2 linked regions of the Macaca mulatta genome follow. The protein of the gene in region 1 interacts with the protein of each later gene in a biochemical or structural test. Links are inferred from orthologs where the notes say so. Each region holds a gene or a part of one and is shown on either strand. Other genes may lie near its edges. The genes, in order: CEBPA and TRIB1.

Evidence for each region.
Region 2: the proteins of CEBPA (region 1) and TRIB1 form a complex in vitro, tested with the Homo sapiens proteins (2 studies listed by BioGRID and IntAct, with this or other methods). The link is inferred for Macaca mulatta from reciprocal best matches to the Homo sapiens genes CEBPA and TRIB1.

The regions. Positions count from the first base shown.
Region 1 is NC_133424.1:44,601,781-44,605,679, reverse strand, and holds CEBPA (CCAAT/enhancer-binding protein alpha), read left to right. Parts: upstream 1-1,094; 5' UTR 1,095-1,214; coding exon 1,215-2,288; 3' UTR 2,289-3,689; downstream 3,690-3,899. UniProt on the Homo sapiens protein: Transcription factor that coordinates proliferation arrest and the differentiation of myeloid progenitors, adipocytes, hepatocytes, and cells of the lung and the placenta.
Region 2 is NC_133413.1:135,863,578-135,867,476, forward strand, and holds the start of TRIB1 (tribbles homolog 1), read left to right. Parts: upstream 1-1,267; 5' UTR 1,268-1,849; coding exon 1,850-2,209; intron 2,210-3,461; exon of another isoform or gene 3,462-3,899. UniProt on the Homo sapiens protein: Adapter protein involved in protein degradation by interacting with COP1 ubiquitin ligase. The COP1-binding motif is masked by autoinhibitory interactions with the protein kinase domain.

The sequences.
Region 1 (3,899 bases):
ATCACAGCGCCCAGCGAACTACCGGGCAGAGTTCTTCCTGTGGGTGCTCGGACCTGGCGGCCCCGGCGGCCTGGACACCCTCGCTCCGGCCGTTGGCGCCCACCTGAATGGGGGGTGGGGGGAGGAAGCGGTGGCTTCGGGCCTCGCGGACTGCGGCCCCCGCCTCGGGATCCCGGCCCCAGAGTCAAGTTTGTCTCCTCCCTCGGTGCGCCCCTCCCCATGGTCGCCCCGGCGTCCAGCTCGGCTATTCCCGGAGCCCGCCGGTCCCTCAGGAAAAAAAATCGGCGACTCCACGCTGGGTAACAACGCCTGTCCCGCGCGCCTAGCAAGTCGCGCGCTCCGGCCTGGAGAAGTAATTATAAAGAAAGTTTTCCAGCCCGGGCGGATCCACCGGCCAGGTCCTTCAGGCTCCCGGGCCGAGGCCGCCTCCGCTCCCCGCGGGGTCCTAGCGCCCCGCGCGGCGCCGCCCGTGGGATTCCACCGTCCTCCGAGAGGTGCCTCTGCGCGGAATCACAGGGGTAGCCTGGAGATCAGAGCTAGGAGACGCAGAGCCACCGCGCTCCGGGTCTCTCCGCGAGTCCCAAACGGCCCCCCACCGGCCCCTGCCCGCCCCGCCGCTCTGCGCCGCAGCCTCCCCGGGACGCGGGTCCCGGACAGGCCTGGTTCTGGCTTTGAAAGAGAGTCCGAGCCACAGCAGCTCAAGACCAAGACTCCCCTCCGCCACCCACCCCTACCCCATGCAGCCTCGGGATACTCCTGGGCTCCCAGCCGTGGCAGAATGTGGGTGCCTAGGGGAGGCGGGAGGAGGGGGCCCCCGCCACCAACCACGAGGGCGCAGGGGCGACAGCTGGGCCGGGGGCGGAGCTTGGAGCGAGCGCCGCGGCTCTGCTGGTCGCGCAGGAGGCGGTGGGCGTTGCGCCGCGGCCTGCCTGAGGAGCGCAGCGCTGGGCCCCGCTTGTTCGCCGCTCCATCCCGGCCGCGCGCTAGGACCCAGCGGGCGCCGCGCCGCCGCCGCCCGGGGACAGAGGCCGCCTCGGACTCTAGGGGGCGACGCGGCCGCGGGGTATAAAAGCTGGGCCGGCGCGGGCCGGGCCATTCGCGACCCGGAGCTGCGCGGGCGCGGGCGAGTCGGGTCTCCGGGTGGGCGGCGGCGACGCCCCGCGCAGGCTGGAGGCCGCCGAGGCTCGCCATGCCGGGAGAACTCTAGCTCCCCCATGGAGTCGGCCGACTTCTACGAGGCGGAGCCGCGGCCCCCGATGAGCAGCCACCTGCAGAGTCCCCCGCACGCGCCCAGCAGCGCCGCCTTCGGCTTTCCCCGCGGCGCGGGCCCCGCGCAGCCTCCCGCCCCACCTGCCGCCCCGGAGCCGCTGGGCGGCATCTGCGAGCACGAGACGTCCATCGACATCAGCGCCTACATCGACCCGGCCGCCTTCAACGACGAGTTCCTGGCCGACCTGTTCCAGCACAGCCGGCAGCAGGAGAAGGCCAAGGCGGCCGCGGGCCCCGCGGGCGGCGGCGGCGGCGGCGGCGACTTTGACTACCCGGGCGCGCCCGCGGGCCCCGGGGGCGCCGTCATGCCCGGGGGAGCGCACGGGCCCCCGCCCGGCTACGGCTGCGCGGCCGCCGGCTACCTGGACGGCAGGCTGGAGCCCCTGTACGAGCGCGTCGGGGCGCCGGCGCTGCGGCCGCTGGTGATCAAGCAGGAGCCCCGCGAGGAGGATGAAGCCAAGCAGCTGGCGCTGGCCGGCCTCTTCCCTTACCAGCCGCCGCCGCCGCCGCCGCCCTCACACCCGCACCCGCCGCCAGCGCACCTGGCCGCCCCGCACCTGCAGTTCCAGATAGCGCACTGCGGCCAGACCACCATGCACCTGCAGCCCGGTCACCCTACGCCGCCACCCACGCCCGTGCCCAGCCCGCACCCCGCGCCCGCGCTCGGCGCCGCCGGCCTGCCGGGCCCCGGCGGCGCGCTCAAGGGGCTGGGCGCCGCGCACCCCGACCTCCGCGCGAGTGGCGGCGGCGGCACGGGCAAGGCCAAGAAGTCGGTGGACAAGAACAGCAACGAGTACCGGGTGCGGCGCGAGCGCAACAACATCGCGGTGCGCAAGAGCCGCGACAAGGCCAAGCAGCGCAACGTGGAGACGCAGCAGAAGGTGCTGGAGCTGACCAGTGACAATGACCGCCTGCGCAAGCGGGTGGAACAGCTGAGCCGCGAACTGGACACGCTGCGGGGCATCTTCCGCCAGCTGCCAGAGAGCTCCTTGGTCAAGGCCATGGGCAACTGCGCGTGAGGCGCGCGGCTGAGGGACCGCCCTGGGCCAGCCTCCGGCGGGGACCCAGGGGTGGTTTGGGGTCGCCGGATCTCGAGGCTTGCCCGAGCCATGCGAGCCAGGACTAGGAGATTCCGGTGCCTCCCGAAAGCCTGGCCTGCTCCGCGTGTCCCCTCCCTTCTTCTGCGCCGGACTTGGTGCGTCTGAGATGAGGGGGCCAGGCGGTGACTTCTCCCTGCAAGGAGGGGAGAATTCTTGGGGCTGAGCTGGGAGCCCGGCAACTTTAGTATTAAGGATAACCTTGTGCCTTGGAAATGCAAACTCACCGCTCCGATGCCTACCGAGTAGGGGGAGCAAATCGTGCCTTGTCATTTTATTTGGAGGTTTCCTGCCTCCTTCCCGAGGCTGCAGCAGGCCCCCATGAGAGGAGGAGGGGAGCAGGCCCGTGGCAGGAGGAGGGCTCAGGGAGCTGAGATCCCGACAAGCCAACCGGCCCCAGCCGCTCCTCCGCGCCTGTCCTTAGAAATGGGGGGAAACATAGGGACTTGGGGCTTGAAACCTAAGGTTGTTCCCCTAGTTCTACATGAAGGTGGAGGGTCTAGTTCCACGCCTCTCCCACCTCCCTCCGCACACACCCCACCCCAGCCTGCTATAGGCTGGGCTTTCCCTTGGGGCGGAACTCACTGAGATGGGAGTCACCAGGTGACCAGTGGGAGCCCCCACCACGAGTTAGACCAGAAAGCTAGGTCGTGAGTCAGCTCTGAGGATGTATACCCCTGGTGGGAGATGGAGACCTAGAGATCTGGCCGTGGGCGGGCTTGGGGGGTGAAGGGCCACTGGGACCCTCAGCCTTGTTTGTACTGTATGCCTTCAGCATTGCCTAGGAACACGAAGCACGATCAGTCCATCCCAGAGGGACCGGAGTTATGACAAGCTTTCCAAATATTTTGCTTTATCAGCCGATATCAACACTTGTATCTGGCCTCTGTGCCCCAGCAGTGCCTTGTGCAATGTGAATGTGCGCGTCTCTGCTAAACCACCATTTTATTTGGTTTTTGTTTTGTTTTGGTTTTGCTCGGATACTTGCCAAAATGAGACTCTCCATCGGCAGCTGGGGGAAGGGTCTGAGACTCTCTTTCCTTTTGGTTTTGGGATTACTTTTGATCCTGGGGGACCAATGAGGTGAGGGGAGTTCTCCTTTGCCCTCAGCTTTCCCCGGCCCCTCCGGCCTGGGCTGCCCACAAGGCTTGTCCCCCAGAGGCCCTGGCTCCTGGTCGGGAAGGGAGGTGGCCTCTCGCCAACACATCACTGGGGCTGGGAGCAGGGAAAGACGGCTTGGTTCTCTTCTTTTGGGGAGAACGTAGAGTCTCACCGTAGATGTTTTATGTATTATATCTATAATATAAACATATCGAAAGTCAATGTCCGTGTCTTTTTAAAACCAGAAAGAAGCTACTTCCAAGGTTGTCTGTGGGCCAGGCCACATTTGTAAATAATACAGCATTTTCCCTGGCGGCAATCCTGACTTTCATGAGCTCTCCATCCACCCCCAGCCCCTCTTTACCCTAAGGGGGTGACTTACTTCCCCCAGGCAACACAAATAAATAGCAGAGGACAAGGCTCCAAACGGAG
Region 2 (3,899 bases), on another chromosome or scaffold:
ACCTGAACTGGTTCATTCAAGAAAGAAAAATGACAGATTCCAAGTTGTTTCACGCACAACTTTCACGCTCACCCAAATCACGCGGGCTGCCCGGGTGCAGGAGGTATCTCTGGCAGTGGCCAGAATGACTTCCACCAGCCTACCCACCTACCCGGGTTGGCACTCAGGCCCTAGACTCTGCGGCGCGTGTGGAGGCTGGGGAGGGAGCAGGAATCTGGCGGCAGCCACGTGGGCCCCTTCCGCCCGCTCCCCACATCCTTTGTTTCCCACCGGCCCTGGCTCAGGAAGCTCTTTCTGCGAGTCACCGCGAAGGGGCGGCCCGGGAGCCTGGAGAAGCTATTTCCGTGCAATCCGGGCGGGCGGCAGGCGCGGGGGGGTTAGGGGGGCGTGGAGGTGGAGGCAGCGCAGAAGGCCCAGTGTTTGCTTTTCTTTCATCCAACAGAAGGTTCTATTTGTGGAAGCGAACAGACGCTGGGGATTGGAGCTGGGAGGGGGCAGGAAAAGAGAGAGAAAAAAAAAGCCACATCCACTACCACGCACAGGTCTTCCCCGGAACTACCGCGTGGGGGTGAATGACTGATTCTGGAATTCATCACCTCCCCATCCCCCTCCTTCCTCCGGCTGCAGCCGGGCCTCGGCGGCGCCCACGGCTCCAACTGGAGCTCCCCAGGCGCTGGGCGGTGGGGGTATCCCCGGGGCGAAAGGCGTCGCCGCGGGGCTGCAGCGGGCGGCGGGTGCACAGAACCGTGGTGCGCGCTCCCGCCTCACGCCCGCAGCCCATTGTGCTTGCTGTGAATGAGGCGCGCGCACCAATCAGCGGTCGCTTCGCTCCCCGCGGCCCCGCCCCTCCCGCCCACTTCCCCGGACCCTTACGTCACGGGAACTTTTCCTCCGCCCCCTCCTTCGGCTTCTCGGCCGAGCTGGCGGCCTGCCGGAGGGCGCGCGCCACCTCCTGCCCAGCCCAGCCCGGGGGGCGTGTGCGCGCGCCCAGGCCGGCCCGGGACGCACCACCTGTGCCCGACCGCGCGCTGCCCCAAGCATCCCCAGCCCTCGGGCCACCCCCATTCCCCCCACCTCCTGTTCTCCCTCCCCTCCCCCAAGTCTCCTCCCTCCGCTCCTGAGACTGCTCGCCGGGCGGCGAGGCCGGAGTCGTCGCAGCCACCTCATTGCACAACCCGGCTTCCCAACTGTTTACACAGCCCGGCCTGTGAGTGTGTGTGTATACAGCGTGAGTCACCGGGAGGCGGAGGAGGTGGAGGAAAAGGAGAAGGAGGAGTGCACTGGCCGGGATCGGTGCGGCGCTCACACTCACTCACAGTCACTCTCTCTGAGCGCGTCTCGCTCGCTCTCCTACACGCCCGGAGCCCAGGAGCGCGCAGGATCCCGAGCGCCGCGAAAAAGTTCCCCCGGCTTTAGCTCGAGACTCATCGCTTTGGGAAGTGCATTTGCTTCGTGGCTCCGCCGAGCCTACTGAATCCTGTCCTCGCGGCTCGGGAAGCCGGGATCGCTGGCCGCTGCCGCCGCCGCCTCTGCCTCCCGGACTGTCGGCAGCCTAGGCAACAATAGTGGCGGCCGCCCCCAGCGAGGCTCCGGGAGCCCTTGCCTGCGGGGATCCGGGGACCCAAGCCGGCCTCCGCTCCCCGGACGCACAGCCAGCGTGGTCCCCGCGTGCAACGCGAGCGCCGGGGAGCGGCTCCTGCTTTGCCCCTAGTGGGGGCCGAGCCAAGAGCAGTCTGCAAACTCCATCCCGCCGGCTGGAAGAAGTCGCGGAGCCGGCGCCAAGCCCGCAGCGTCTTCCCGCGCGGATCCCGGGACTTAAAAAGCCGGGGCCGCCCCGGCCCAGGACGGGATGCGGGTCGGTCCCGTGCGCTCTGCCATGAGCGGCGCCTCGCAACCCCGCGGCCCGGCCCTGCTGTTCCCAGCCGCCCGAGGCGTCCCGGCCAAACGCCTGCTGGACGCCGACGACGCGGCGGCCGTGGCGGCCAAGTGCCCGCGCCTCTCCGAGTGCTCCAGCCCCCCGGACTACCTCAGCCCCCCCGGCTCGCCCTGCAGCCCGCAGCCCCCACCTGCCGCTCCGGGGACCGGCGGCGGCTCCGGGAGCGCGCCGGGGCCCAGCCGCATCGCCGACTACCTGCTGCTGCCCCTAGCCGAGCGCGAGCATGTGTCCCGGGCGCTGTGCATCCACACTGGCCGCGAGCTGCGCTGCAAGGTAGGCGCTCCCGGGCCAGGACCCGGCTGGGGTCGGGGGCGCAGGACGGGGTAGTAGGCAAAGGTGCTTGGGGTGCGGCCAACGCTTGGGCTGGGCACAGGGCAGATCAGTAGATGGGGTCAGATAAGACGCCATCTGACCAGGTTCACCTTTTTGTGGATTGAGGGGTTTCCCATGGAGTGGTATAATGGGGGCGCCTAGAGGAAGTGTAGTGTTCAGTGGCCTTCTCTTTCTGTTCCTTTCCTTAGCGCCCAGTGTAGCGCGTGGCGTTCCATATAAGTTGTGGAATTGAAATGGATTCCAGGGCCATGCCATTCCCCTTCTCTCATTCTCCTCGCTCTCCACCCCCCGCCCCCCCAACCCCATGTCCTGGAAGGACGCCCTGCAGTGGGTGCCTCCTAGGAGATTGAAGCAGCTGGCATCTCTCTTGCCGGGTTTGCACGGCACCCGGGCTCAGTTGTAGGTGGTAAGAGCGCTGGAAGACTGTGTCCGGCTCCTGCCTTGGGGATTCCGAATTGAATTCGCGCTGGGACTAGAACACGTCCTCCCTAGGGAGCAGTCCCAGAGTCTTCCACCCGAGGCGGAGGAATCTGCTCGGAGTAGAAATGTTGAAAAGCCCACACCGGGCAGGAACCCTCGCTTCGATTCACTTTATTTTCCAGCCAGCGATTTTCCTTTGAACGTAGGGATCCCATCCAGGAGGAGGAGACACAGCTCCTAGAAACAGGATCCGCCGGGTCCTCCTCCTGCGCGGGTAGACGCAGAACATTCCCACAGTCTACTTTATGCGAGCATGACACCCCTGCTTGAGGCACCCCAGAGCACCCTCGGGCTGCTCCTTTTCACCCGAAAGATAGGATCAGCCCCCAGTTAAGTCGCTTCTGGGTTTTCCGCAACTCACCTGACACTCCCAACACCCCGACCCCGTCCCGGGGCTCGCTGCTGCCACCTACTGCCCAACCCGAATGAAATTTCAAACGCATGATCAAGCCCAGTTTAATAGGGGGAGATAAAACCCTTTTCTTCTCCGTGGCTGGGGCTCAGAGCTGTTCTGGGACAAGCATATGTGTGTGGTGGGATGGGGTGGGTGGGAGGAGGGGGCAGCAGGGGATTTTTCTAGCTGGTGCCAGAGCAGCCAGGCCTCTTAGAGGTGGGGTGAGTCTGGCCATTGTGCAACCCCTTCCAGTTCCTCTGAGCAGATAATAGCTGAATCCAGATGGTGACAGCCCGTGTGTCACCGTTTCCAGTTGAGTCTAGGATATGAGTAACTGGACTAAACAAAAGGCCTCTAAAGAGATCAGCCAGCTTCCTAGAAGAGAGGAGATGCTACTCATTTTTAGGGGTGGGGTCGGGTGTGGGGGGTAAACAAACAAATGAAAAACCGATTCGCAGGATCCCCTACCCCTCCTGTGAGAATTGTAACTCAAGGCGGCTTACTTACACTTGAGTCGGACTGTAGGCAGGTTGCTTAAAGCTGCATTGTCCCAGCCTCCCCCTCCAAGTCATCTGTTCCTTCTGATTAATGACAGCTCTGCATGTTCTCTGGCCCCTGCTTCCCCTTGGAGGCTGCAGAGTCACCACATTCTGTGCCCTTTCTGTGCTGAGCACTTTGGGTCTGCAGGAGACACATGCATGTCCAGGGACTGCTTTTCAGCTCCTGGACAGGCCAGGGGCTTCCTTCTATCAACCA